Linked DNA regions of Xenopus tropicalis. The protein of the gene in region 3 purifies or fractionates together with the protein of the main gene of each other region. This does not show direct contact. Links are inferred from orthologs where the notes say so. Each region holds a gene or a part of one and is shown on either strand. Other genes may lie near its edges.

Region 1 (4,126 bases), on a different chromosome or scaffold from region 3:
GTAAATTACCTTGGGGGGCTGGATACGGCCAGCGGGCCATAGCTTGAGGATCCCTGTGCTAGCTGGTTATAGCTCATATATTTTGTTGCAACAATTGCACAAAGTTTTAAAACATTAAACATAACTAGATACATTTTGAAACATTTTGTTTTACTTATACTACAATTGGTCAATAGAAAACTTAATTGTAGTGGACATTCAAATGGCAGTATTTCAGGATTTATTCAGTCAATAAATATCATGGGTATACTATAATAAATAAATACTCTCATAGCAGATTTTAATGTAGAACGAAATTGTAAAGTAAATGAAACAAAAAAAAAAAAAAAGTATCATAGTTACATAGTTTACAGTTTACATAAAAAATCACCATGTAGCTTATTGAAATTAGGGTTGGAAATTAAAATTCTTAGATTTTTTTGCCCTGAATGCAGATGTTTGAAATGCATTATTGAAAACAATTTATAAAGCACTTGTACTATCTAAGCCTTTTCTTCTGTAATGAGTTTTGATTTTTCCACAACCATGTTTTTTTGATGAAAGTTACAAGATGGAAATCCTGTTATATCAGTAGCCAGTACGGTAAAGACACACTGCCCACATCAGTGTATTACTTGCTTTCTGCCAGCTAACTGCTTGACACCAATTTGGCGCAAAGACCTGAAAGGCACCTTTTGGTTTTCTCATCCACACATTAAGTCACAGGAAATTTATTGATTTAAGGTTGCCATACATGGGCAGATTTCAGCTTCAGTTTTGGATCCTTCAGACCGATATAGAAGCTTATGTGTCTGTGTATGGGCACCAGAAGGGCCTACCTGACAATTCAATTTCAGGTTTTATTTTCTGTTGGATCGAGGGCTGAATCAGCTTGTTCATGCTGTTCTCGGTCTGACTGCCCATATACCCGCCATTTTAATTCCAATTCTTTGGCCCTAGGGCCAAATTAGCTCAATATAACCCACCTTAAGTGGGCGTGTCGGGAGAAGATATGCTCGTTTGGTGACCTCACCAAACGAGCAGATCTTACCGTGTATGTCCACCTTTAGCTCGTTGGCCTAGTTTTTTAAAACCAGCACATATCTTTAAACTAGGTAAGTGATTTGACGAAGACAACCTGATTGCTTCTTATGTGGATGACTTAAGTTCTCAGTAAATAACAGAGCATAAATAATCAGTAATTTGTTCAGTGGGCCACAAAAAAAGCAATAAAATGTTTGTTGCTGTATTTCCTAATGTAGGAGATGAGATAATACGAGACATGGATGTCCAATCCCGTGATTCAATTGGTGCTGGCACAGTTCTACCATCACGCGACGATAAGCAGGAACCTGTGGTTGTCAGACCTTACCCTCAAGTTCAGATGTTGGCTTCACACCATCCATTGCAACCTGCTCCTTCCCTCAGTATGACTGCACAACCTGCTCACCTAACCTCAGCTGTTCCATTGTCATTCTCTGAGAATATCCTGAAGGTAATAGATTGCTTTGGGTTTTGGTTTTTTTTTTATATGCTTTTGTTAATGGTGGCCTAAAGGCTTTAAAACTGCTTCATTTTTATTTAACGCAAAGTAAGTTTGGCTGTGTGTGCACAAAAAAATTCTTTTGTGCACACATTTTAAAGTTGTATGCGCATTTTTAAAAACAGTGTGCTCAGGTCGGAATAGATACAGTTGTGTGCTTTACACAAAATTCTTTTTAGCGGGAACATTTAGGAGAGATTATTCACCCACGGTAGCAAAGATCTATCACAGATGGCTAATCTCTGCGTGGGACATCAGCCTAAAAGCAGTAGATATCAGAATAGCACTTAATAGTAAAACATCCAAGTCCAGCTGACTCCTCTAGGAAAAAAAATAGGTTATCTGGAAGTAGTTCTAATTTGTAGCACTGGCTCCTTCTGAAAGCTCGGAATCGGGCAGAATGCACTGAGATGGCACCTACACACTTAAATTAAAGCTAAAAATTACTTTTGTTGGTTCAAGAATAACTCTTAAAATGGTAGAGGGAATTATTTGCAATGTAAACAGTGTAATTTAGAAATTAAAAGTACACCATTAAAATTGTGACAGAATCCCTTTTATATATTTGTACTATTACCCTGCACTGGTTAAAGTTGTGTGTTTGCCTCAAACACTACTGTAGTTTATATAAACAAGGCTGGTGTGTAGCCATGGGATAGCTAATAACATTGAAATATTAAACCTGAATGGTATAGGTTACAGAGCAGAGAAGCTCTGTAAAACACCATTGTATTCTATAGAGCTTTATCTGCTTATTAACATGAGTTTTCTTATTTTTTCCAGCTGCCCCTGTGACTGCTACTACAGTTTATATAACAGAACTTTACCAGTGCAGGGCAGCCATATATTATATTTTAATTACTTTCAAACACTAATTTTTGGTGTTTCTACTCCTTTAACATGCTTTTGCCCTCTAAAAATATTTATGCAGATGTAATGGAACCTTTTATTATCAAATGTGGCTTTGTAGAAGGCTAAGGGAGCTATCAATGTAATCCAGATATAATTTTATGGTCTGCTTTTAACTGACATAACAGTTTACCTTTTGTTTAAAAGCTTAATATTTGTATATATTGTACAATAATCATGTGTAATTTGAACAACTTTGCAAAACATAGTAATTAGGTAATCGAACCAGGTTAGGGATTTTATTTTTTTTTTGTGATATTTGCTTTCCAAAGCATTCACAAACACAACTGTATCAGCTTTTGCATATTCATATCACTCTATTTTGTCAATGAAATTATAGATAAAGAGGTTCTTAAAGTTACTTTGTCTTGACAGAAGTTTACTGTTGATGTTTTCCCACAGCAGACTTCAAAGTCTACTATGCCTAGCCGGCCTATTGCTCCAGCACCTCCCTCTGCACTGTCTGCTGTACCAAAGGTCTCTGGCCAAGTGACTGTCACAATGGAGAGTGGTCTTCCACAGACCTCTGCTATCCCTGTGGCCACAATAAGTGGGCAGCAGGTCAGTGCTGTAAAAGATAAAATACTGTACTATACGTTTAGGTTATAGAACAGTGTACCCCTATTTATTGGGGTGTTTGCTTCTACAGACAAACATAGATTTTTTTAAAATTAATTTTTATTGCTTGCTTCATTTGTTGTAACACTCTCTTCCTTAAAAGGGATATATACCATACATTTTTACAATGCACTAAACCATGTAAAATAGAAGTAAGTGCTTTTATTTTAATAACTTTGGGTTCAAATATGTCCATAACTGCTTGAAAACTGTGCTCTACCCACACCCTTTGCAAGCTTCCTGTTTAGACTCCTCAGTATGTGGCTGGGGCAGCTGGCCATGGTAGACTTCACTGACACAACCTCACCTACTTACGGTGCAGTGAATATGCATAGAGTGGGCGGGGCTTTCACAGGCACTCTCCCCCCCCCCCCCCCCCCACCCCTCCTGGCAGCAGCACAAGCAGAGAGACCCAGAGGGAGGAAACTGGGAGGGGTTTTCCCTGCTACTGTTGAGTAAAGCCTGTCAGTCAGTGCTGTGACCACTTCCTGTGGGAGACTGAAGCGACACTCCCATGTTTCATTTCACTCTGGCTTCTGATTAAAGATGTTGTGTATGCAGCTCTCATATAATGGCAGTTTTAGGAGGTAAAATGCTTTCAAAACATCTTTCTTTCTGCATCATTTCACATTTTGAGGGAGTATGAATATTATAACTGAATATGAACTTTATATAAAATGTCTCCTTTAATGCTTCATAAGTCTGATATAATCTCTGTTCTCTGGCTTGATATCTACAGTGGATTTTCCTCTGAAGGCATTTTAGGCTAAAATCAAATAACATTCCTAATTCTGCTAGAGGGCAGGCAGAAAGAAATCACTTAGAGTAGTCTGTAATTGTGTATTTTTTTTTATTTAATACAGGGGCATCCCAACAGCCTCCACCATATTGTGGCTGCCACAAATGTTCAGATGTCAATTATCCGTAGTAGTGCCCCAGGACCTCCATTGCATATTGGAGCTTCTCATCTTCCCAGAGGTAAATGAGTAGTGATTTTGTGACTGATGTGCACTGTGACCATTGCATTTATCCCTCATTCACATTCTGTTTTTTGGTTCTTAGGAGCTGCTGCAGCAG
Region 2 (4,126 bases), on a different chromosome or scaffold from region 3:
TTATCTCAAGTTATGGATTTCTTCTGTTGTGGATTTTAAAAAGTGATAGTGTCTATGCATTGATGATTTCGATATTGTTTTTCAGCCATTCAGTTGCAAGGAAAGACCTCACTGAAGTTGATGTCAATGTCCTAAATTCGGAGCATTTTGGAAAGCAAGGTAATTTAATGAGCACAACCCACTTTTGGGTTGATGGCAATAGAACAACTTTTTAAACTTGTAAATCATGTATGACTTATTTTTCTGTAATATGTTTATAATTGTGAAACATTATTTTTAAAATTGTATTCTTCTATAGGATACACAGTTGGAAAAATCAGATCTGCAATTGTCAATGCTTTTTAAATTTGCATATATATTATCAAGATATCAGCATTATTTTTAGGAGTTAAATATGAAAATATGCTTTACATATACTTGATCAGAGGTAGTTCTATGTTTAACAATACATGAGTTATAGTGAGCTCCATGCCAATTACACATGATGCAGAAAATGTACCTTGAAAAGAATATTCAATGCCAAATGTAAATGGGACTAAAAGTGGTGGGAAAAAAAAAATCAATAATTTGATTTAGTCATCATTTCACTGCTGCCTCCTTAAGCACCTTTAAAGAAACAATGATGTGGGTATATCAGTGTAAATTGTTTAAACCTTACAATCTATTCACTGATTCCAGTTGAGAGCCCTGGTCACATTAAATGATGTAATTCTAATTTGTCCTCCTTACCTAGTCAGCATCAGTAAAAATGTTGCTTTGCAGAAGTGTGACTTTCTATGACAACATTTTCCAGCACATTTTGCCTGTTTTTATTTTTATGTTTTTTTTTTTATATTGTGTGCTGGTGCTTAGTGAAAACTTTCTCTTTGGCTGGGTTCTAGGTGTGCAGGATGCCATTGCTTTCTTGATCTCCAAGACAATCCCTGAAAAATGGAAAATGGACATGAATGAAATCCTTGAATCTTCCAGCAGTGATGAAGAAGATGGAGAGGATGATGCTTGTGACAGTGATCAAAACAAAGAAGAGGAGGTGGAAACAGAGGTAAGACTGCTTACTCAGTGGAGGGAAAATGTAGAATTCTTGGTTATCTCCGTAGCCTACAGAGCACAGGCTTGATGAGAGTATTTTGTTGTGTGGAACTTGCAAATTTAAGTATATTCCTGAAAGATTAATGGCAAATAGTGAATGAGGTATTAAAAGTATTAAAATCAAACCGTTGTTAGAACTAATTTAATACACTGGAAGGCCTTTTCAGAAGCTTGAGCCAGAATGGATTTCCAAGTTCAACATAACACCTGATGGGTCATTGAGCCAGCCATTGAGTTATACAATAGCTGCTTAGCCAAGGTTATAGCTGCAGGTTTCAGCCAGTAACATTTTTTTACAAAACTTGATTAAACAAACCAAATGGAAAGTAAATACACATTTAACAGTTAATGTTTCCATTTGTCAAACCCACGGGGAAGATTTAAAAAAAAAAAAAAAAATATGAAGGTGTACTGGCCCTTTAATCACTTTCATATTATACTAAGGCCACCACATAGCAACCACTGTGTACATAACTTATAGGCTAGGGTAAGGGGAGGGAACTTGAGAAAATATCCAGCTTCTTGCTGTGTTTTATATTGTGCCCTGTGTTTGAAAAAACTCTCTCGCACATTAGAGATTAATGGCTTACAAAAAAATGCTGCATGGAACTCGCTGCACTGAATCCCACACTAAATTTCTCCATGGCCAGTTATCTTTTTGTTGGTCTGTACTATGGCTCATGTAGTAGATTCATGTGTTTCTTAATTGTGCATTTAAAATCGATTTGATGGTTGCAGACCAGAGAACTTAATGCACCAATCTAAATGGACACATGAACAATACAGTACTTTCTTTGGCTCTTGATATGCTGCACATGCACCATCTTGAAGGGACACAAGGGCTATACCTTGGATGTCAAATAAAATGAGGGCTGCAGGCTGGAAGAAGCCAGTTGTCTGAAGTGTGACACTAAGCCCCCAAATACCCTAGTTATGGCTTTTTTTTCCCCAAACAAAATGCTTGTTGTAGCCATGGATAGACAAGGTGGCCCAGAACACAGGGAAGGTGTAGAGGGTTATAAGTAAGTAAATCATGCCTGCTGGGTGCCAGAGGTGCTGTGGCTGTTATTGCAGCCAACCAAAATCAATGAAACGGAAGCAGTGCATTATATTATTTCTCGCAATAATGTAAGATAATATTTTAGACTTATTAAATGTCAGTAGAATAAGCAATATCTTAGCAGAGTATGGGAAAGGATTTTTAGTGTAACTTCAGATCAAGATTGTCCTTGTTTATGAACATGCTCTGTAAAATGGGGAAATCTTTGTTATTACGTTGTGCAGGAAGTGCTTTGCTTGCAGCTTTAAATGTTAATTTGTTGGGGTGCTTGCCCCAGTGACCAGACTATGGAGGACTGCAGCACCCATGTTCCAGTTTAATCCCTTTGGCATTTGGTGTTGGTGAAAATAATCTTCATCATTATTCTGGCAATATTCTGCCATTAGTAAAGCTAAGTGTGCAAACCCTGTAGGGCAACCACTGTCATTATGAACTAGTGTTTTCTTACGGCTGCTTTTCTTAACACTGAGCCACTTTTTGTAACACAACCCTTAAAGTGAACATTCAAAAAAACTCCTTTAGAATGTTATACTTTGAGTTGCATGTTAACATGTACAGGCCTTTAAAGGATGGTTTAATAGTAACACTATTGATAATTGTCAGGTGGAGGTAGAATTTCTATTGTTTCTACCTCTATATCTGACGATTCAGCCCTGAATGTCAATGGAAGGTGGGAACGATCTTTCCTGCAACTAATGGTCGTGGGAAAGATCGTTATTGCTACATGTAAGGCCACCTTAAGAATCCTACAATTTACTTTTTGAAGTGAAATTCTGAACTAGAATTTGCTTTGCTGTTATTTATGACATTGATTTATCTGTATGGCAGAGGTGTTACTTATCATTTAAAGGACAATAATCATGAGAAGATACCTGTCTGAAACTTAATTATGTGTACTATGAGTTAATCAGAGGCTGGATAATTTAAGTCTCCCTAATTTTATTAACATACAATCATGTAGTTTGTTACTTGTGCTTTATTTGCGCCCTGGGCAAATATTTTGTCAATACACAATTGGTTCAAAGTGAACAAGGTTTTGCTTCCTTGTTGGAATGTTTTTCCACCTCCCTCTGAAGGATTATTTATTTATTTTGTGTGCATGTTTGGGTTTCAACACACAAACATTTTACTCTAAAAATGAATCTGGAGAAAACAAACCTGCTGTTTCATCAGTGCCTGTACCTCTTAGGCTGATGCCACACATGGCATAGGGCTGATTTTTTCGGCAAGCGGAAAAACGCTTGCCGAAAATTCAGCCCTACGCCTGCTACTTGTGCCTGCACCCGAATGAATGGAATACGCTTGGGTGCAGGCACATGTAGCCGATATACGCATGAAAACGCGAGACTTTGCATTCTCTCGCATTTTCATGCGTATATCGACTTGCCAAAAAAATCAGCCCTACGCCACGTGTGGCATCAGCCTTAGGGCTCTGGCACACGGGGAGATTAGTCGCCCGCCACAAATCTCCCTTGTCACAGGCGACTAATCTCCCCGAACTACCGTCCCACCTGCGAAAATGTAAGTCGCCGGTGGGATGGCACATGCCTCGCGAGGCATTTTCGGCGATTTGCCAAAATCGCCTGTGCAGCGTGTGCCATCCCACCAGCGACTTACATTTTCGCCGGTTGGACGGTAGTTTGGGGAGATTAGTCGCCCGTGACAAGGGAGATTTGTCGCGGGCGACTAATCTCCCCATGTGCCAGAGCCCTTAAACTTATTCCAAATTTGTTAAAGTTTGCTAAAATGGTGCTTTGTGCATCTTTGTCTTGTCATTTTATGGCTTATGAAAGTCAGAAGAGAAAATCATCTTCGTGACTTGTATTATTGCAAGTAATACAAAGAAAGTGCTTTTCTGCTACCAGTTGCTGCCTGTTCAACAAACATAAAATCAATATTTTTAAACATACTTTTAATATATGAAGCAATAATGGGCAAATTTTAACTTTATAGCCCTTGGTGGTAATTCTTTGAAGT
Region 3 (4,126 bases):
GGAACGGTTACCTGCCCGCCATAGCAGAAATCTATCACAGACGAGTAACTCACTCCATGGGTTCTTACTCTTAGAAATACTTTCAGATAACCTACTGTTTCTCCTACTCCCATGTATCTGGAGGAGTCCTAAGCCAGACTTGGATTTCTTATTGTTGAGTGCTATTCTGATATCTACTTGGAGCTGCTATCTTGCTGCCTTCCCATTTTAATGCTGATTGGCTGCTGAGACGGGGGTGATATCACTCCAACTTGCAGCTCAGCAGTAATGTGTGACTGATGTTTATCAGAGCAAAGGTCACATGGCTGTGGCACCCTGGGAAATGAAGAATATGTTTAGCCCTATGTCATATTTAAAAAAATCTATTTGTGTTTTTGAAAATGGATTTCAGTGAAGGATTCTGCTGTACCAGCTCTATTAACTGGTGCGTTTTGAAAAAACATGTTCCCATGACAGTATTCCTTTAACTGTGTGAGCCAACCAACTCTCATACCCAATATCTGTAAACATAGATATTTTGTCTTCAAGAGAAAGTACAGTCAATAAAAATATATCACACTTATTAGAAGAATTCATTTAATGTTGAACAGTATTTTTATACATTTATCTGCCCACAGTTTCAGTGTCTCTCCCTTCAGCTGTTGACTCATTTGACAGTTATATAATGAGAATAGGGTTGCTAAGGAGAGGGTGGAGCAATAGCTCTTTCTTACAAAATCACTGAACCCAGCCAGGAAAGAAACCCAGTCCAAAATACATTTCCTCTTCAATATAATGCAACATTTCATTACCTTAGATTTTTGATCATCCAGAACAGTAGTGCCCATTTGGAGGCCCATGAGTTGGTATTTGTACCAATGGCTCCATGTACATCATCATTTTGATATAATCTAATCTACAAATAACTACTATGTCAGATAATTAGCGCACTACACAGGAAATGTTGGGCAGAGCTGATCTAGGGAATATCTGACACACAATATCTTACTTCACAAACTATTATGGCCTCAGAGTTACCCCTGAACAAACCCTAGCATATTAGATAATGTCTTGACAATTCAACAATTGAAGCTTTGCACAGCTAGAGGGGGAGCTTTGTAATGATAGCAGTGCAATGCGAGACAGCAATGTTACAATGCAGTTGCTTCTATAGCTTTCTAAAAAATAAAAAGGCTAAAAGTTACATTTAGTTTATGTACAATATATACAGTCTAGGAGGGAAACATAAATACCTCAGGAGTATCAGCGTCATGAACAGGGGAATCACCTCCATCATCATCACTGCCTTTCCTTTTCCTTCTATTTCTGACACTCTGAATTAAGTTCTTGTGAAAGTCACAAATATAAAGGTGCCTTGCCTAAATAAAGGACAGAAACAAATGTTTGCAGATATATCCTAGAGAGAAAATGATCATAAACAGAACAAGCACAGACTTTTCCTACTATCTGGTAAAGCTTAGTAAATACTAGAAATGGCGGAAGTGGAAGACAAGCAGATCATCTACTACAGGGCACACAATTTTATGGGACTCCCATAATGCATTGAGATACATATGCTTTCTCACTGACGGTGGCATTATTAGTAGTTTTGTGCGTTACAGAACCCACCAGCCATCCCTGAATTTTTTGGAATTCAACTATATTTTGAAAATAGGATGTGCAGATTGCACCAACCTGTCACTAAAATACTTGGTTGATAGTGTCTACAAGAACATCTGCCAGAATCTAACACTCCCTTTAAATGCTGCAGGAATCAGGTTGCTGCCCAACAAAAAGTAGACACCAACTCATCTCAGGATGCAAAGAGTCATGTCTGAGGTTATGGCAGTTGTCCCCCCAAAAGTTTTGTTTTTTGAATAGAAGTCCTTAGGAAAGCAGGTCCTCCGGATGATAGATAACAGAACAGGACTAACCATTCCCATTTATAAAGGCGTTTTATAAATAAAGGTGTTTTATACTAGGCCTGTGTGGGACAGTTTGTGAATTTGTGCACTTAAAAATACTAGAGCCTATTTTGAATCTCAGGTCTCTTGAGTGTGAAATTATTGTTTACTAGTGGGTATATACAGTAGATTATACAACTCCAGTAGGAGAATGGACTAAAAGTGGCTTTATATTTGAAGATCTGCTTGTTTGCCGAGGTCGTCAAATGAGCTTATCTGTCACCGATATGTCCATCTTGAGGTGGACGACATCAGATTGATTTGATTGTTTGGCCCGTCGCATCGAATTGACGGGATACAGGCCATCGAGATGAGGACTGAATTGATGTGGTGATGCACTCCTCATCACTACTGGATATTTAAACATGCCCGATTTTTGGACAGCTATCGGTTGGGGAGGCTCATCTGGGGGCCCCAAAATCAGACATCAGCAGTTTTTATAGCCTGTGTATGGTCACCTTAAGAATACAAGGTGAACTGTCAGACTTTGCTCAGATCAACCTATTTAAAAAAAAAAAATCTTGCCTGATGCCTCTGATACCATTGATATCACAGCATACATTCGCAGACATGGGGAATATTGGTGTGTGTTTTTACCAGCATGTATCCTTAGAGGCAAACTCTTATTGCTATAGTCATGTATATACAATATGCTGTATTAGATATATCAAATGGTATATAAATTAAATCTTTATAATCAACATGTCAGTGATTTTACTCCAGACTGAGGCCAATATATTTCACTATTACACCACCTCGGAGCTGGAGTATCCCAATCAAGTCAATGGGACAAATCACATGGTAAAAAAAAATTCGGACATATAAAGGGTGTAGAAAGCTATGCAAAGTGGTGACAATTAAGACAATCAACACTCCTGTTAAAAAAAACCAAAACATTTCTCTTTTTAATCTAGTATTTCACACAATGCTAAATACACCAAAGATGATTACACAACTGTGTAACCACTTATGACAGTATGAGGTATAATGGGATGCTGATGTGGTAATCCTTGGTGTATTCTATTGCAGTGCCTTTTGTAATAACCTATATAATTAAATATGTCAACCTCAACATAATATTATTTTACTCCTGCAAAAAACTCAGTCTTTTATGGTTTGACAGTTGCCCATTCCAAATCCTTGGTTCATGATGGAATGTGTGTATGAAAATCAGAATAATTAAATATATTTCCTTGATCATGTAACCTAAAGTCATTTAATTTTTGCTTTGGATTCAGCTTGGTCAGAAAATGGACAATGATCAGATTAACCTTGAACAAGACATTAATATCACGGTAGACATGGATCATGAATCAAGCACTACACTTACCCCAGGTATGCCAATAAATTCAGTGCAGCAAATGAATAGATTCAAAGCATTACCTCACCACACATACACAAGCTGAGTTCCCCTAAATCCTCCCATTCTGCTCATCTCTCTCACTCCCCCTTGCCTGCGATGAAACTCTATGGTTGTGCATTCCACTGTGAAATGCTTATACCAATTGATACAATTTAATCAAAGAGCTCCAAGCAGTATTAACAAACTCGGGCAGAGCCCTTTCTCAAGTTTCACTTGAAAAAGTGTACACTTGAGAAAGGGCTCTGCCCAAAACATATAGGGGTGTATTTATTATGCTGTGTAAAACTAACAGTAAAAAGCTGTGTAAAATAAGTGGAAAAGATCGCCATCTTAACGGCGGATATTACGCAGTTATTTTCCATAAGTTCTGGTGGAAGAAAAAACGCGTAAAACAATGACGCCATTTTAACGCCATTTTTATACGGCGAAGCCCGGCGAATTTTCTCGCCATTTCTTACACAGTATAATAAATATGCCCCACAGTGTGCTTATACTGCTAATAAAAAATACTGCAGTTTGTTAATACTGCTTGGAGTTGTTTAATTCATTCGTATCAACTGGTTAATTTGGGGTGATACACGGACACCTAAAATCTACACCCATATGAACTTTGAATGCTTTACTTGATACCATAATCCCTGTGTATTCTACGACTTAAATTAATAGGATAAAAGTTTTCAAACTACTTTTTGCTCATGTTCCCTTTTGATTTCTTTGCTCAATCCTCAATCCTTTGCTTAATCCACTGTTCTGACTCTCGTGCTATATCTTTTACATATAGTATTTTTCCAGTGCTACCCAAGCTCTTCTATTCTTTCTG
Region 4 (4,589 bases), about 63 Mb from region 3:
AGCCAGGTCAGATCACTAAGATGTGTGTGTTTTAGAAAAACCGAGCATGTGTGTCATGAGTGCATATATAACATCAATAAGGATAAAACACCAGTGCCCCCGGAAGTGTGTATGAAATAAATAGATTAATTTATTGCACATCTTAATATAATAGCAAAAATCTGCCAATAGGCTGGGAAGAATTCAGGATACTAAGTGCTTGGTCAGATTAGGCTAAGAAAGAAGCAGCAAAAAAAAAGCTTCTTGAAGGGAACAAAATGAACCATTTCGAACATCTGTTGACTATCATAAAAATATTGGTTATATCAGATCTGGGTAAGTCCATAATAAAAGTCTTGGACTAGGGGCGCTGCTGCCAAGAGGCGTGTTGAGATACTCAGAAGGTAGCTCCCCGCATCGGCTCGTTGAACTGTAGACTTTTGTGCATATGCCAATTGAGGAGAGGGGGAGGTCGAGGATGAGAGAGCCTGGGACTCTAAACCTATTTTTACAAACCAAATCTATGGATTTTTTTTACATGGGACTGGATTTTTGAATACCCTTAAGCCAGCTGCCAAAGCCCACTGAAACAAGCCCACGCACACATACAGGCCACAGACATGTGCATGCTCATTTGAACCTATCCACTCCCAATCCTGCTCTCAGTCGCTAGCTCCTACTGGCAGCACTGGGCACCCAGTGCAGACGTGGAAGCATAGTGTGCCACCCTAGGCCCAGGCCTTTCCACAAATCTATGCCTGCTTCTACAGCTGTATTATTTAAGCCATGATTATAGAGCTATTACTAAGCACAAATACCACAGGTTGAGGCTGGTTGTTTGACATACAATTACAAGCTTCCCTAAACATTATAACTGTTTCCAGTGCTTAGCAAACGAAAACAAGCTGAATACAGCTCCAATTAGGATTCTAAGTTATTGTCATATTCACACTACAGCAATGTACCATAGCAATCAATGATACAGAGCTGTCAAGTCAACCCCATCCAACTTTCCTGGACGTTAACAGATTTTGGACCTCTTTCCCCAATCTATTTTTACCCAAATAATTATACTTTAGGGTTCACACCTAGCTGTTAAAAGCTTTGTAAAGCCTGCTGTATTTGGCTATAGGTTACTGCTCACATACTACTTTGCTCATTGACAGTATAAATAAAACTGAGTGACATAAAGCAACACTGGGCAAATCTACACCTGCTGGGCACTGACCCTTAGCAACATATGCTTGCTTTAATTGAATTGCCCGCAGTCAGCCGGGAAGAAATCTATTCACTGATTGGCTGGAATGCTTTCCGCACTAAGTATAGTTGGATATGTGTAATACGCAAGTGGACCGATCTTTTGCAGTTTATAAATGCCTTTAGAGGGAGCTGAAAACTTCATTCATTAATTTGAGCGTCCCGCTTGCGTGCATAATTTCCTACTTCCTTTCCAGAGGAATTAACCCCGCCCTTTTTTGACCCAGTACCCTAGCCGAGTTCCCCCCCCTTGTCGCCAAATCACGTGATCTTGACATCACAGCAGGCCCTTCACTCTCACAGCGTTAGAATATGGTTAAGAGCGATGGTTGCGCCGAGTGCGTCCCCGCCGCCCGGAATATGTGGGCGCGCACTGGAACGCGCACGCAAGGTACGGATCATGGGAAACCTTCCTTCATGTATCACCGGACGTTGCTTCCATTGCTCAATCTTGGTAAATAATTCAAATGTCTCAGCATCCTTTTCAGCTTTGATTGCAGTGCAGAGGGTGGGCTGGATCCGCACGGTGTTGAAGACTGCGTTGAAGCCGAATGATTTACTCGTTCGGGGTTGAAATAGAGAAAGGGGCGCGATGATAAACCAGGCCAGTCGGCAGAAATACAAAATTACACGTACTTTTCTCCTGTCTCTCTGTGTGTGCTGTGTATTATCAGTCAGCTCGTCTAACATCCCGCTCCAGCGTCGCGTCTATTGCCATTCACTTCGTGACCCAATTCTAATTAATATCCAGGTTCTAATCTGCTCCTGTCACTTCTAATGCGCTCTTCTATCATACCCGTTGTTGTAAAGTGCTAAAGGGATTTGACTACATCATAACTCGATCATTCCTTTTCCTGTAGCATTATATATCTTTATTGTCTCCCTCATTGCAACATCATTTTTGTGTGTAGCCCCCATCACATACATAGTGGCTTGTGCTGCTTATCTTGTTCATCAGCATACCTTATTATGGGTACACAATGTGCATGTTAGGGGGAGGGGGGTATTCCAATGTAGTCTGTATCTGCTTTCCTTAGGTTGTTAAAAAAAAAAAAATGACAGTGTTACGGCCACCCCTGATAAAATGGCTCATTACTTGGTCTACTGGCAGTTTCATATGCCTCGGGCAAGAAGAAGATGCTCTTTCTGGTGCCCATGGGGTGAAACTAGAATAACTGAGGCAGAGATGTGTTTTTGTTAATTGCTAGAGGGATGTGAGTCCCTTAGAAGCAATTCAGATAAAAAAAAGGGGTTGTTTGACGATGCAAAGAAATCTGCTTGGTTAGGTATTTAAACCTTTGGAAAATGTTTTGTGTGTATATATAGGTGTTGTTTTTTAAACTAGAAAAAGCATGATCCCACCATAAGCCAAAGGCTGTCAGAGGTCCTATTTGTTGTTTAAATACAGCTTCTGGGCTATAGGATGATTGCCTTGAGCCCAAAATACCTGAGCAGACTATTCAGTTGCCATGGGGGGGGGGGGAGGGAGGAGGGAGGGCGCAGTGATGATGCTTGAAACTATTGAAATATAGGCTATACCATCAAGTTTAAGGGTGAAGAGACACAGAGCTACTAGTAGCAGCTACTTGTCGTGGCTACTAAAGTAGACAATGCTGACCATTTACTGATAATTGTATCTACATGTGTTTTAAGGTCCCCATACACGGGCCGACTATAGCTGCCGATATCGGTCCCTTGGACCGATTCGGCAGCTAATCGGCCCGTGTATGGGCAGAACAGAGCAGCCTGCCCGACCGATATCTGGCCTGAAATTGGCCAGATCTCGATCGGGCAGGTTAGAAAATCCAGTCGGATCCGGGACCGCATCGGCTCGTTGATGCGGTCCCCGAACCGACTGCCCCATAACCACAAATGTATTTTTTTTTTAAGTTTCTTGCTACCCGATATCGCCCACCCGTAGGTGGGGATATCGGGTGAAGATCCGCTCGCTTGGCGACATCGCCAAGCGAGCGGATCTTATAGTGTATGGGCACCTTTAGGCACTTCTCAGCATTGTCTATGGCAGGGTATCTTCTGGTGTTTAGTAGCCATGAAAAAGTAGCTGCTAAAAGTAGCTCCCTGTGTCTTCACCCTAAGCACCCAAACGAAGACCATTGTACTTAAAGGCACTGATACAATCTGCCATCACCATCGCCCATAAAAAAAAAAAAAAAAAAAACAGATAAGATAAAATCTTTGAGAATAGCAACATACTAAGGCTAATGCAGGCAACTTCATGCAACATCAGAAAATGAAGAGGCACCTACGCTTTTCCACAGGCAAATTACTTTGTTGCCGGTGGAAAGGAGAGAGAAGTCGCCTGCTGTAGCAGAAATTTATCGTGGGAGACTAATCTCCCCATGAGACATTACCCTTAGCCCTCAAATGCAAAGTGCCTATTTTGTCCATCATCCATAAATAAGGCCCATTGTGTTTCAAGCTTGTAGAAGTATTGATTTGATGGAACAGGTGTTAACTTGCTCTTGGCTCTTCTATAAATTTGTTTGTAAATGTCTGTATCTCTATTAACTAATTATTTTGTTTTAAACTATGAAATCCTGGGCAAAATTATCAATGAAAATGATCATTTTAAAACATGAAAAAGTATTTTTTAATTGTGCAAGATGAATTACATTTCTATTTTCTCTTTTTAGGAAATATTTGCAGCTGTTCCTGGTGTCCACAGGGAATTCTGAAGCAAGTGCTGGATCATGCTTCCCCAACTCCAAGTGCTTAAGCCTTTTATTAGACTTTCTTCTGAATAAGCCATTTCACTACTGTACCAAATTAAAAAAAAAAAAAAAAAAAAATGGCGAGTGGTGGAGGTGGTGGTAATTGCAAGCCAAATTCAAACTGGAGCAAACCTCAAGAAAAACTCCCAGTGCATGTAAGTATAGAAAGCAACCAGTTTGTTCCTATTGATCATAGATGTGTGTGCATTGTTACCTTATTGATACCTCAAGACATGATATTGTGCGTCCTTCTTTTAGGCTAGTGCCACACAGGGTGGTTTCTCGGCCTGAGAATCCACCCCTACACTCCAAAAAAGCTTTTGGTTGTTCCTTCACCCAGAGCCATTATGTTGGAGTTCAGTGCAATAATGCCCCCTTGTGCAGTTTTGCGCCAAATTCTGCTGTGTGCCTGTACCTGGGCTGGTGCAATGGCTCCTGGTGTAGGCACATTCAAAAGCTTTTTTTGGGCGTAGGTGCGTTTATCTGCATGCCAAGAATCTGCCCATGTAGCATTAGCCTTAGGTGTCTCTTTTACCCCAAAGTCATGCGTTCATTCATTCTAAACACTTGATATTCTCCTCTTTAAAGAACAATATACCCACTTGTCAACATAAGTGCAAC
Region 5 (4,561 bases), about 120 Mb from region 3:
TGGCTACACTAGATTAGTTACCAGCAGTAAGTTTTTCTGGTTGAGGATTATGTCATTTTTCATACTAAAGTTGTTTCTGTGTGTGTACTGCATACTATAAAACTAAAACAGCATTGTGCATCAGGCAGGACTCTAGCAGTCCCTGGAAATAGCATTTAGGCTACATACAGTTGAACATCTTTGCTCCACCTTCTGCCCAACACCCATCAAAATTTGCCAGGGGAATCACAGTCAGTCAAAGAATGTCCTACATTGTTTGCTTATTTGACCATATACATGAGGAGGAATAAATGCAAAAAAAATCCCTAAATCTTGACTTTTTTTGCTCTTTGGGATACTAAGCCTTAACAACTTTACTACTAACCCATAACAACTCCACTGTGTCAAGAATGGCAAGCTTTAAATATGTATTTGTGTATGAAATACAATTTTTAGATTAAATTCACCTACTTTTTAACAGGGCCACTTTAAGGTACCAGCAGGACCTGGGCAAAATTTAACTGGTGGGCCCCCAATGTCCAAGAAATTTGTAACAGAATAGCACATGAAGTTTAATATAAAGTGGCAGGCAGTGAAGAAATGGTCTGCGGTTAAGTAGACATGATACCCAGGTGTGCCGCCACGGACCAACAGCCCTGGAAGCAGAAGAATTACAAAATAGTGAAGAAAAAAAGGCAAAGAAATTAAAATAACCATAATAAGCAGATCTTTCAGTTGATTACAGTGAGGGTCTGCAATATCTGGTTGGTGCTTCTGCCAAAAGTGATCCCAGACGAAAGTTGTGCTAGTGTGACCCCTATGCTGGTGATCCCTGGGCAAGTGCCTCTTTTGCTTATTTATTAAAAGAGCCCTGCATTTTAAGATGATTGGGCCTGCACTATATTGGGGTATTAAGCTGACCCTTACCTGCAGGGGCCCCTGAAGCATACAGGGCCCAATAAGATACTATAAGTTTTAATCAGTGTTTATGAAAATTGTGTTCTTCCTAATGTTTGAGGGCCTTTAAGTGATTTTACTTTGGGCCCTATAACTATTCTACATCGCTGCACTCAGCCTCTCGGAAGGCAGCACCTATATGGGCAAGGATTCAGAATAAGCAAATGCCTGATTTCACTAGCAGTACCACAGCCAAGAGTGTAATGTAACTCTGATAATGAAATAGTTGAGCCCTAGCCTTTACCAACTACCCGTGAGAACAAGCGCCAGCACCAAGAAGCACAAGCATTACACCGAGAGAATATGGAGCACGGGGGCGTAGAACAGGAAAGTGGGTCAAGCAATAAAAGTAAATCGGGCAGCTTTATTTGCTCTCCGGCTGGCTCCACGCTTTGGCAACATTGCTGCCACCTGCTGACGGATTGCGAGTACTTCGCCACAAAAGAAGAAAGGAAACGAACCAAAATCAAAGGCTAACAAAAGGGCGACTTCGGTACATTAGTATTAAACACATATAACTTATAATTCCCAAACCAGGGCTTTCCAGCTGTTTGCAGCATTCTGGTGCCGGAAGTTTAGACCAACATATACCGTCGCACCGCTGATTTGACAGCGCTCCAAAAACACATTACTTAGCAACGCCCCTAAGGTAAACGTACCTATACGCGAAACAGAGCCAGACTCGGCCTATGGAGTCAGGGCAATGCCTGTAGCGGGACGTATCATACATATAGCAATACTCTCCTATAAAGGCTCAGATTATTTTTATGCAACTGGTGACATCATTTTTGCGCACAAGTGTTTGCTTTCCGCTCTTATAATGCGCCGCGCTCCCCGTTCGGCCTATGTTTATTATCAGGCAGGGTACGGGGCAGCTTGTGAGGAAGTAGCGCTATTGGAAGCCTGAGAGGACCCCGTTGCCGTGCGGCGCTTGTTGGTTCATTGATGGGAGGCGGGTCTCCCGGGTATGGGAAGCGGAGTGCTGTGTTGATTCGGTACCGATAGGATTTACGGCTGCGTTACTGGGTGTAAGTGTGTTCGGCTTACTGCTACCCCTGTGAAAAGAAAATGTCCTCGGCTGGTGTGTTGTCTCCTGCCGCCGCGGCGGCGGCACCTGATTACTACGAGGAGGACGAGCTGGAAAGTGTGGAGGAAGAAGATGACCGAAGCTTCAGGGGCAGGGAGTCTGATGAAGGTAAGGGGGCTCAGTCCCCCAACTTGTTTATAAGCTTTGTATTGTTTGTTTTTGTAAGAACTGCGATTCCCGTAATGCATTTTTTTTATCGCCATTGCGACATGTAAGTAATATGTTAAACACTAAAATAAAGTGGGTCCCAACACTTCCTAAAGACAACTGCAACTTATATCGGTGCGGCACCCCAAGCCTCATAATCCTCCTTGTAGCTGGTCCGGGATATTAATGTTGCTTAAGCTCATTTCGTGGGACAGTTTGATTATTAAATAGGCCGGTCATTATAGGATAAATCCAGTGACAAAGCCCTTTTAATTAGTTATGTATTTTCATTATGGTTTTGATGAATAGTGTTTATGGAATGTTATTTGTGTTTATAGTAAGCAGGAGCCTTTACATTTCTGTCTCAGCTGAGACATTATCATTTAGTTCCTGTATAGAAACATTACTCCTTTAGTAGGATTTATTCTTGCGCTGTGGTAATATTGTGTTGAGATATAAGATACAATGATATCATGCTGCTGTTATTTTCTCAGATACAGAAGACGCCAGTGAGACTGACATTGCAAAACATGACAATGTTGACTATGTGGAAATGAAAGAACAGTATGTATACATCTCTCTTCCTTTGCCTCTCTGAGGTCTCTGCATCAGACATAAGTGTTTAATGATATAATCAATAATCAAATCAATGATTAGCTTCTTGCACAAACAGGACACCCCTTTTCAACATAACTACAGTTAGACATATGACCAGTGTCCACCAGGATACCAAGAAAACTCCCGGTGGGCCTAGGTGTCAGTTGAGCAAGCACAGACGCTATAGCTTGGAGCTTCAGTAAATAGTTTTGTTGATCTTTCTTCACCCCCAAACCAGCCATAACAACTTAAAGGACATGTAAACCCCACACACAAAAATTTAATCAGTGAACCGCTAATTTGAAATCTTTGAATACCTGCCACACTGCTTGTCCAGAGGTTAATAGTAAAGGTGCCCACACACGTGAAGATCCACTTGCTTGGCGAGGTCGCCAAGCGAGCGGATCTTCTTTCGATATCCCCACCTACAGGTGGGCGATATCGGGAAACATGTAGGCTAATCTGATCGTTAGGCCCTGGGGCCAAGCAATCGAATTAGAATGGCGGCAATGGGGCAGTCAGTTCAGGGACTGCATCAACTAGTCGATGCAGTCCCCGATCCGACTAAATCTTTTAACCTGCCCGATCGATATCTGGCCAATTTCAGGCATGCCCCTCATTCCTGCCCCTACACGGGCCACGGGACCGATATCAGCAGCTACAATCGGCCCGTGTATGGCCACCTTAAAGGAAAAGTAACACTAAAAGTTTTTAACTAAAAAATCTATTCTACCCTCCCCCAATAATTGCCCTATCCTGAAAACCATTTGTTATTTTGAATGCTTTAGTAGAAAATACCTGTAAATCGATTGATCAAGCCTAGCCTGACTTCTGTATAGGAAGGAGTCAGGCTAGGCTCGATCAATGGATCGCCACATAGTTGATGCATCTCCTGATGCTTTCGCCGGCATCGCCGTATCGCCTTTGTTCAAATGACAGGAAGCCGAGTTTAACAGGTATTTTCTTCTATAGTATTCAAAATAACAAATGGTTTTCAGGATAGGGCAATTATTGAGGGAGGGTAGAATAGATTTTTCAGTTAAAAAATGTTAGTGTTACTTTTCCTTTAAGGCTGCAATATCTCTTTAATCACTTAGATTTCCTTCTCCTCCTGTAACCCACTCGCCCCCCACCTTCGGGAATTTGCTTTGATTTCTGGCTTGCCAGACATGCTCAGTTGTTCTAAGCTCAGATTACTAAACACGCCCTCCAGTCTAGCAGCCAGTAAAGAGATGGCATTGCTGGTTCCCAGATTTAAATGCATCAGAGGAAAAAATGGCCATTGGGTGAAAGCTGCTATTTGCTTTAGAAAAATGTGATGGTGCTGGCAAGCGGAGGGGATATATGCAGTACAAATGATGCCATTTGGGTGGGGGAGACATTCCCAACTGATATACATTGTAGGCAAATGTAGGCTTTGCATATTGTATCCTAAGATGATATTATTTATTTATTTTTTTTAATGTTCCTCTGCCGGAATGATGTCAGTATTTGTAAATTATATATCCATTCTGGACTTGTTTATAGTTCTTTGCTACTCCCTTTCTCTGAAACCCCGTTAGGGGTAACTTTTATAATCTTTGCGTGTCAACAACTACATAATATAATTTAGTCATAACCTATTCAGCATTAAGCAACTTATCCACTGCAGGACTATCTGTATATATTATTTTTTAAATACATTTTAGCATGGGGAATCAGTATTATTTGATATATATATCAAGGATACATTTTTATGATGATTTGTCTAGATACCTGAAGGGATATATTTAACACTGTATAAAATGTAAGATA
Region 6 (4,837 bases), on a different chromosome or scaffold from region 3:
GAAACATTTCATGATCACAATAGTTCTCCTTTTTAGCAAAATAATTAAAGAAGGAAAGTAATTTTGGCATTTTACTGCCTATAGATTTGCCACACAAAAAAGGAGAAAAGATATCCTGTGTTTCTTTTGATAGAGGACTCGGTGCAGCATTACTGTAAGTGCTTATGGCTGTATTTACATAGATCTTTCTGATAAAACTTACTTAGTTTTTACCTTTCCTTCTCCTTTAAATAGCCTTACTTTAGATGTAGTGGGTACTAATGTATTAAAGGACTGTTAACATACATAGGATAGATACAAAGCAATTTTAAGGATTTTATACCTGTTTTAATCTACAGTTACGGGTCTCTATAGGTCTGCAGTATGTTCTGACCATTGGCTAGGTCAGATCAGCCCAATTTGGACCGCTGAGGGGTGGTCAAAACGGGGCTGCTTCTTTGGCAACAGGACCAAACAAGCGGATCTCTGAGGGAGTGCTGCAGAGCATTTGCTTTCTTCCACTTCTTCATTCTTTAATGACCCCAGGCTGACACATGCACAGCAGAGTAAAAAAACAAACAAAAAACCCTAAAACCCTGCTTTTTAGTAAAAGCTTGGCATTTCATACTGTGCATTCACACCCAGAGCAAAAAAGGGAGACGCAGGAAGATGATCTCTCCATAGTGCTTACTCCCCACTTCTCTGTATGGGAGTGGGGGGGGGGGGGGGGGGGAAGAGAGGTTTGTTCGAACATGCGCACGGGGGGGGGGGGGCGGTATTGGTGAATGGGGGGCAGCCTCAGAGCGCCCAGATTTCAAAAAGAATGTTGTGCACGTGTCTTTGGGTGCCTATGTCGAAATGTGCATTTGTTTGCAATGATGAGAAATTAGGTATTAATGATGATGAGAAATCCTGGACTGCACCATTATATCCCTATAAAAGGACACAATGTTAAATGAAATATACATTTAAAAGAGTTACAAAAGCAAAGCCGTTTCATGGTATCTATTATCCAGAAACCCATTATTAAAAAATGTCCAAAATACTGGAACGCCACTTCCCTTGGAATCCTATTTAAACAAGCAATTATTTTTCTTTCTTTTTTTTTAATGTTTCCTTTATCTCTATAATAAGAGTACTGTGTACTTGATCATAACTAAGCTGCAGAAATCCAAATTAATCATATTGGGTCTTACTTAGTGTTCTTTAGGAGCCTTTGGGAATGGTACTCCATAAAGACTCCTTGTCCAAAAATCCCAAGCATTCCGGATAACAGATCCCACACATGCACAGCCGAAATCCTATTCGACCGGATGGACACTAATACTAAATATCCATTAAACCTCTACCAAACCTAGGCTTCTATAAAGTACAGCTTCAAATTGATAGGAACAAAGGTGGTTGATTACTATAGCCTGACGTCTTCTCTGTTTATAAACCGCCCGAAAAAGCACGCTGCCTCGCAATGGCCTTCGGAATTTGTAGTCAAATTTCCTGCCGTGTCATCCAGTAAGTAATAAAGACGAAACTACATTTCCCAGCAAGACGCAGGGTCCGCCCTTGTTCTTTCATGGAAACGTAGGAGCGAGTAATAAGCGACGGAAGGGTTTTGCTGTGGCCTATGGCTAGTAAATGATGCGTGCTCTTAAGCCAATCGTAAGCGCGAACGAATGATATATGGGCGGAGCTAAAAATATAGTACCGTAGAGTGGCCAATAGGAAAGGAAAGGTGGGTGCCGGCGCGGGTGGAAATTGGGGTCCGGAGAGGCGCAGTTTTAGGACGGAGGGAGTGAAAGCGAAGATGCCGGTTCATTCACGGGAAAAGAAGGAAAGTAACCACAATGATATGGAGGTTGACTATCCGGAAAATGAAGGCACTAGTTCCGAAGAGGACGATTCGGATAGTTCCAGCGGGAGCGAAGAGGGAGACAGCTCGGGTAAGCAGCTGACTGCTCCAACACTGCTCGCAACACGCACATCTACACGGCTGCACTACCGCCTGTGGCCGCTAGTTGTTTCATGGTGGGACGGCTGCGGGCTCAGGGATTTCACATCCTGCGGATCCCTGGTACTTGGCTAGTTCAGTGATAGAGCGGCCACCAGTGGAATAAAGGCGCTTTGCTGTTCTTCCTTTGCCGCAAAGCAATGCTGTGCTGTGGTGCAGTTATTCACAGGGACTTCTTGGTTATGGAAGCTCTGTCTTTTCAATATGAGGCAACCCCCCTCACATCTTGACAGGCAAGGCACATGCTGGATGTGATTCCCCTCAGAACAGTGATCCTTCCCTGTGTATCGGTGCCATTGATTTCCATTCATAGAACGTATCAGTGTGTCAGTAGCCATTTACATCTTAGGTCCCATTATCAAAGGTGCCTCTTGGGGTAGGAAACAAGTGCTAAAGGCATATTGTAATGTAGCAATTGTTTATAGGTAAGATAGAGATAGAAACTTAATGGACAGTCAATGTTTTTGTGAGATCCTTCTTCAGATGTTAGTTTAAAGCAGGGATCTTCAACCTTTTGGACTCATGAGCCACATTTAAATGTAAAAATAGTTGTGGAACAACACTAGCATTCAAAAATTTCATGGGAGTGCCAGATAAGGGCTGTGATTGGCTATTTGATAGCCTCTATGTGGACTGGCAGCCTCCAAACCAAGAATTCAAAAAATAAGCACCTGCTTTGAGGCCTCTGGGAGCAACATCCAAGGGGTTGGTGAGCAACATGTTGCCCCGGAGCCACTGGTTGGGGATCACTGGTTTAAAGAGACAGTGAACCCCCCTCTGCACTAGTGCAATGAATAGGCTTGTGTTGAACACTGCCTATTGATTTAATCACAAAAAATCTATGGATTTTATTATTACTTGAGCTAAACAGGGAAACTAAAGTTTAGAGTAACTAAAGATGAATTACCAGGATACAGCCCTTGTCTGTGCTTATGAAGCAGGAAAACATTATGCAGGGGGATCGCCTCTCGACCAAAGCACAGGTCTCGCAGGCTGATTCTCCCCCACATTTATAGGGGAGAGTTCTCCAAGACACATTTTTAAATATAAAAGACATTAAAGTCATTAAATCAGGGATCCCCAACTTTCTATACCCATGAGCCACATTCAAATGGAAAAAGTTTTGTAGAGCAACATAAGCATGAAAAAAGTTCCTGGAGGTGCCAATGAGAGCTATAATTGGCTATTTGATAGCCCCTATGTTGACTGGAAGCCTACAGAAGGATCTGTTTGGCAATTACACTGGGGTTTATGCAATCAAAACCAGAAATTCAAAAATAAGCTGTATCAGGAGCCAATTAGCCCGCATGGTTTTAGCTCTTGGAAGAAAACCAACTTTGCTTATAGTGCCCTGTCTGCAAACCTAGGCCCACAGAACTCTGATGTAGGCTGCCCCTTTCTCTTCCATTCAGATCATCTTGTTCATTTGAGAATTTTACCATTTGCTTTGGGTGTCTGTCTGTCTATCTATCTCATCATGTGCATGCTGAAAACCCATAAACAGAGGACCTCTGTAAAGCACCACAAACAATACAGATGTTTACAAAATTTTGCTCCATCACTTAAGTTGGCCACACATTCTCTTTAGATGCCCCCTTAGCTCATGTTTGATGCATTGGCATATTGTAAGTCAAAGTAGCTGCAGCAAAGGTCAGTTTATTTGGGCCAAACAGTACTGTTTGGCTATTCACATGTATATCCAAATAATATGAATTGCTGGTGGAAAGGCAATGCATAAGCCTTTCCATAGGTGATTCCCTTTATTGCCAGTAAAACAGTTTCTGAGGTAGATTCGTTGCCCACAGTAGCAGATATTTATTGTGGGCGACTAATCTCCTTATGGGACATTACCCTTAGTCCTTCTGCAGGCAGGGCATGAATTTATGTAGAGAAGGAATGTGTTTTGGAGTCTAGAAATGTAAACCTGTTCTTTTTTGTGCTTGCTGAGATACTGAGGCCTTTTCATTAGCAAGAAACAGGAGCTCACACCTACATTGATTGATTGGTCTGCTGGATGTTGGATTGTACATGATTTTTGTCTTGCCCATCACTAGTATTTGTAAGCTTCTTGAAAGAGCTATTTTAGCTTCCAGACTAAAATTCCTTCCTGACCGACAGATGCCTGTGGGTACATACAACGCTTCACTTGTAGTAGTGGTAAATTACCTTGTGTAAAAATTGTCTGTAAATGTATGGCTTCTCTCTCTGCCCTATCGATATTTCCATTTACTCTCTAGAGGAAAATATTCTGTGAACATAATAAAAGGGCTCAAAATGTTGCTGTCTAATTGGGAAAATTACATATGTTTATATAAAAGGCATTGTTCTTCTTTAAATGGGGAGGTGTACCCCTTTGTTCAACATGAGTTCTTTGAATGGGGCTTATGCCAAACATACTTTTTGCCTATTGTTTTAATCACAAGCGTCTACATATTTTGTAATTCCTTGAGCTAAACAAGGCAAATGGGGAAATTGAAGCTACTCTATGGTTGGTCCTAGCAAGGGAGATCATTTAGATTTCCAGTGCACATATAATCCCCTCCCCCCCCCCCCCCCTTGCATAATGGACTCCTGCTAACAAAACAGGTATAGTGGTGAATGGAGAGGATTATATGGTGGTAATCTAATTATCTACTTCACAAAGACCAAACATGGAGTAGGCTCAATCTCTCTGTTTGCCTGTTTAACTCAAGAAAAAACAAAATCATAGATTTTTCTGTAACTAAAACAATAGGAAAAAATATCTTTGTCACAAGCCAAAATTATTGTACTCACATTGAACCAAGGAGATATACTGCCCCTTTAAAGCAACTTCTACCATGGTGAATATTTGATAACATTCTCTTGCTTGTG
Region 7 (4,126 bases), on a different chromosome or scaffold from region 3:
ATAAAGTTTAAGGGCTTGCCCGTTTTTGCAGCTCTGAGTGCCATTTGCATCTGTTGCTAAAACGGCCATATGCAATCAACAGAAAACTGTATGGGCTGTACTTCTGTGTTGATCTTGATCAACTTTTATCTATTTTTATGATCCCGCCCCCTTCCCCCACCAGTCTTTATTTTTGTGGTTTTAATTATGTAGTTCTCCATTTTGGAATTTCAGCAGCAACTTTACCCTAGCAACCAGTTAATGGTTTGAATGAAAGATGAATAGGAGAAAGTCAGAAAATTGGAATTGGAAAGTTGCTAAGAATGACATTTTCTTTCATTACACAGACTAGTTTTTAGGTGAAGATGTTCTAATTCTCATTTTATAATTAATATTTTTCATAGCTGCTGAAAATTCTGCAGAGGACAGTGAAACTGATCACAGTAGCCTGAATATGGACAAAGAAGAAAAGGCATTTCACATGAATCATATAAGCTACGATATCAATCAAAGATTGGATGAAAACAAAAGCTTCCCTTTAACAGAAGGAAATTGTACTGGTCTTGATCCTATATTGGCAGTAATACCTAGATCCCCTGACTTACTAAAAACAGTGGAAGATTCTTCAGACGATACAGACTATGAAGTAGAGTCTGCAAGACAAAGTAAATACTTAAAGAATGATATAACTAAGTCACAGAATAAGCGTGGTAAAAGAAAATACACAGAAATGGGAAAGGCAAGGTCCCCTAATGGCAATGAAGTGTATTCCAAGTGCAATGAAACAACTGATAGACTTGATGCAGGTAGTATGACTTCCTCAGACGATGAGGAAAAATCTAACCCAAAACATGCATTATCAAACAAGTACAATGGTTTTGAGGACAAAAGGAAATCTTTGCGAACAGGTTTCTATACAGGCTTCTCAGAAACACCTGAAAAAAAGATTAAGCTTTTAAATAATTCGGAAGAAAGACTTAGAGCCAAAGACCGCAAAGACGTTTGGTCAAGTATCCAAGGCCAGTGGCCGAAAAAAACTTTAAAGGAACTTTTTTCAGATTCTGATACAGAGGGTGCCACTTCCCCATCTACTAGGAATCAAGATGAGAGTTCCTCTCTTCAGCAAAGTCATGACAACATTAGAATGTCTTCATCTGAGGTGTCTAAACCAGAGAAAGATAATGGACTAAAGCCTGTTGATGAGAGAGCTGCTGAAATAAGTGACAAAAAAATTGACTTTCCCAGTAGTGGTAGTAACTCTGTATTGAATACACCCCCAACAACCCCGGAGTCACCTTCTACTTTAAGTGAATGCCAAAAACAACAATCAAAAAGTGACATTTTAGATACTTTAGAACCAAATCAGGAAGAAGTTCAAAGCATGAAAAGTGAAACTGATAGTACAATTGAAGTAGATAGTGTTACCTGTGAACTGCAAGATCTCCAGTATGAAGGGCGATTTTCACCAACAGGATTTGATGCAAGTATAAGTTCTAGTAGCAGCAATCAGCAAGAACCAGAAAGTAAAGAGAAAAGTAAGTGACATGAAAATCTATCTTTATTAATTTTGTCTTCATGTGGACCCAGAATGATAATTGATTTCATATGCATCAAGTGGTATATGTTTCAGCAGTGTATGACAGTGCATGTTTTGCATTCAAAGGGGCCATGGCAAAATGTATTCTGAATTATGTGTTGGTGATTATTAAACAGAGCTCTCATTGGCTGTAGGGCAGTATTGTTAGATCAATGTATACATGCTGAGAAAGTTATCCTGTGTGTGCATCATGGGTGTTTTGGGCACATCATTAGATGTTGGTCTGTAGCTCTGTGATATACATGTGTAATTCCATTTCTTTAACATCTTATAGGATTTAAGTACTGAAATTTTGTTAAATAGAATATTTGTAATGGTATATTTCAGACACATTTTCTGAACTAAATAGACCTGATTTGAAAATCCCCAATTTTTTGAGCATGTCAATACCAAATATAAATAATTTTATAAATGTTTCTGACACTTACAGATCAAAAACCCCTGGCAGTGCACTACCAACATTTTTAAGCTCTGCTCCATGAATTGGAATACTTTATTACACTGCAAGGTCATGGTAGGTTTACCCCAAGAAACCATATATTTGTCAAAAGTACACATTCTGACAAATACAAAATGATTAAATATATCTTGTATTCCAAATTTTGCAAAAGTTTTTATAAGAATGTCTGAATATTCTGAAAAACTTTCAGATTTCTTATCTTACATGTAATTATGTACCAATATAAAACACTATAATGTATTTATAGTGCATAGGTATACCAAAAGTAAAATGATTCATGAAACTTGTCATGGTGGACAAAAATCAACACGTTAACTGCATTTTTGATGGAAACATTGTCCAGAACTGCAGCATAAAATGGAGTCTACATTCTGTGCTACTTTAACCCTTAAGTGCCACAGAATGTAAAATCTGCATTGTATGTATAGTAAATGCTGGCTGCTACTTCTTAATAGAGCAAAAACTGAACATTTCATTTGTTCAAATCCTGAATTTGTTTTATAGAGCCTACATCTCTAACTGTAATTTCTTAAATTTTTTTTCCCAATGGTGGAGACAAGGGTGTTACAGGGGAACTGTCACCCAGACATAAAAAGCTGTATAATAAAAGTCCTTTTTTAAAAAAACATTAAACATGAAACACAGGCAATTAGGTTCACTTTCCATTCTGCACTTTATTGATGTCATTGCACTCCTATCTACCTCCTCATGGTCTATTATTATGTATCCTGTGCATGGACATGGGCATCAGGTTCCTTACTCTGGTGGCTAAACAAGATTTTGTGATAATGCAAGTCTTGTCTTAATGTTCACAAAATGTCGCCTACCTGCTTGCTCTGATTGTAAACTCCAATACTGAAGGAAACCAGAATTATATAATTTATATAGGGGCAGATTTATCAAAATGAGTTTACAGCTTAATACATAAAAATTGACCCATGTTATATTCACTTTAGTGGGATTTTTAGAAGTGTATTTATCAATGGTTGAAAAATTCAAAAATCACCATTTGATAAATACGATTGGTAAATGAACTTCTTCACTCTGTGTGTTTTGTTTGTATATGTGGATATAAAGGATAAAAAAGCTGCTTTATTGTTCTATGTACCAATGCAGCTTCAACAGTATCCTGCCCAGCCCAGCCCAGCTTTACTTCCCCTCTGCACATGTTTGCTGTTGAGAGGTGTGGCCTTGTGACATACCACAGCGAATCAGCTTTTACTTTGCTCTGTCACTCGCACATTTCTGTGTCACTGATGCAGACCAGGAAGCCAGAGATTCTGGAGGGTGGGGGGTGGAGGCTGCTTCAATAATTAGCCATAACTTTGTAACAGTGCAAAATGTTTAAAAGCTCTAAATTGTCAAAATGCTTGTTAAGACTTTTTATTTTCAATATTATAAAAACATTTTTCATGACTGTTCCCTTTTAAAACTGTGTCAGCCCAGGTGCAATTACACAGAGTGCATTTCGCATTGTTCTGCATTCTCGGCCTGCATTTATCTGCAGCCTGAAAAGTGGGAGTAGCCTTGCACTCAGTTTGGGAGAAGAATGTGAATTCATTGGAGACTTAGGCTAATGTCTGACGGGGCAACTTAGACTTTTCAAAGTTGCGCAAAGTTGCCTGCAGGAGGAAACTTTGCACAACCTCGGAAAACCGAATCAATGCATAGGCCTTTCCACCGGCGACTCCTGTTGTTGCCGGTGGAAATGCAGTTCAGAGTGGTTAGTCACCTGTGCAGTAGCAGAGATCTCTTGCGAGCGACTGACTAGCTTTGTAGGCCACCAGCCTTAAGCCATACACGCACCAATATTATCGTACAAAACCTTGTTTCGTATGATATTTGGTGCGTATATGGTGGCTCGAAGAGGCGACCAATATCGCAAAGGCTGCAGATATCCACTGTCTAGGGAAGGGATCCCCAAACTTTTATATAAATGAGCCACATTTAAATGGAAAAAGTGTTTGGGAGCAACACAAGTATGAAAAAGGTTCCTGGGGGTGCAAATAAAAGCTATAATTGGCTACTTAATAGCCCCTATGTGGCATTATATTTGGTTTTTATAGTTTTTAAGTTTTTATGCAACCAAA

Evidence for each region.
Region 1: the proteins of sap30 (region 3) and sap130 purify together in Homo sapiens (affinity purification with mass spectrometry; 4 studies listed by BioGRID and IntAct, with this or other methods). This does not show direct contact. The link is inferred for Xenopus tropicalis from reciprocal best matches to the Homo sapiens genes SAP30 and SAP130.
Region 2: the proteins of sap30 (region 3) and arid4a purify together in Homo sapiens (affinity purification with mass spectrometry; 5 studies listed by BioGRID and IntAct, with this or other methods). This does not show direct contact. The link is inferred for Xenopus tropicalis from reciprocal best matches to the Homo sapiens genes SAP30 and ARID4A.
Region 4: the proteins of sap30 (region 3) and sin3b purify together in Homo sapiens (affinity purification with mass spectrometry; 4 studies listed by BioGRID and IntAct, with this or other methods). This does not show direct contact. The link is inferred for Xenopus tropicalis from reciprocal best matches to the Homo sapiens genes SAP30 and SIN3B.
Region 5: the proteins of sap30 (region 3) and suds3 purify together in Homo sapiens (affinity purification with mass spectrometry; 4 studies listed by BioGRID and IntAct, with this or other methods). This does not show direct contact. The link is inferred for Xenopus tropicalis from reciprocal best matches to the Homo sapiens genes SAP30 and SUDS3.
Region 6: the proteins of sap30 (region 3) and brms1l purify together in Homo sapiens (affinity purification with mass spectrometry; 4 studies listed by BioGRID and IntAct, with this or other methods). This does not show direct contact. The link is inferred for Xenopus tropicalis from reciprocal best matches to the Homo sapiens genes SAP30 and BRMS1L.
Region 7: the proteins of sap30 (region 3) and arid4b purify together in Homo sapiens (affinity purification with mass spectrometry; 5 studies listed by BioGRID and IntAct, with this or other methods). This does not show direct contact. The link is inferred for Xenopus tropicalis from reciprocal best matches to the Homo sapiens genes SAP30 and ARID4B.

What each region holds. Positions count from the first base shown.
Region 1 is NC_030681.2:125,411,158-125,415,283, reverse strand, and holds part of sap130 (histone deacetylase complex subunit SAP130), read left to right. Parts: intron 1-1,241; coding exon 1,242-1,474; intron 1,475-2,833; coding exon of another isoform or gene 2,834-2,992; intron 2,993-3,912; coding exon 3,913-4,027; intron 4,028-4,111; coding exon 4,112-4,126. UniProt on the Homo sapiens protein: Acts as a transcriptional repressor. May function in the assembly and/or enzymatic activity of the mSin3A corepressor complex or in mediating interactions between the complex and other regulatory complexes.
Region 2 is NC_030684.2:103,539,710-103,543,835, reverse strand, and holds part of arid4a (AT-rich interactive domain-containing protein 4A), read left to right. Parts: intron 1-85; coding exon 86-159; intron 160-881; coding exon 882-1,042; intron 1,043-4,126.
Region 3 is NC_030677.2:48,755,112-48,759,237, forward strand, and holds part of sap30 (histone deacetylase complex subunit SAP30), read right to left. Parts: intron 1,359-4,126; coding exon 1,233-1,358; intron 1-1,232. UniProt on the Homo sapiens protein: Involved in the functional recruitment of the Sin3-histone deacetylase complex (HDAC) to a specific subset of N-CoR corepressor complexes. Capable of transcription repression by N-CoR.
Region 4 is NC_030677.2:111,954,561-111,959,149, forward strand, and holds the start of sin3b (paired amphipathic helix protein Sin3b), read left to right. Parts: upstream 1-1,617; 5' UTR 1,618-1,690; intron 1,691-1,703; exon of another isoform or gene 1,704-1,840; intron 1,841-3,890; 5' UTR 3,891-4,045; coding exon 4,046-4,123; intron 4,124-4,589.
Region 5 is NC_030677.2:165,496,849-165,501,409, forward strand, and holds the start of suds3 (sin3 histone deacetylase corepressor complex component SDS3), read left to right. Parts: upstream 1-1,605; 5' UTR 1,606-2,004; coding exon 2,005-2,131; intron 2,132-2,664; coding exon 2,665-2,734; intron 2,735-4,561.
Region 6 is NC_030684.2:108,267,383-108,272,219, forward strand, and holds the start of brms1l (breast cancer metastasis-suppressor 1-like protein), read left to right. Parts: upstream 1-1,718; 5' UTR 1,719-1,780; coding exon 1,781-1,916; intron 1,917-4,837. UniProt on the Homo sapiens protein: Involved in the histone deacetylase (HDAC1)-dependent transcriptional repression activity. When overexpressed in lung cancer cell line that lacks p53/TP53 expression, inhibits cell growth.
Region 7 is NC_030681.2:55,884,612-55,888,737, reverse strand, and holds part of arid4b (AT-rich interactive domain-containing protein 4B), read left to right. Parts: intron 1-383; coding exon 384-1,514; intron 1,515-4,126. UniProt on the Homo sapiens protein: Acts as a transcriptional repressor. May function in the assembly and/or enzymatic activity of the Sin3A corepressor complex or in mediating interactions between the complex and other regulatory complexes.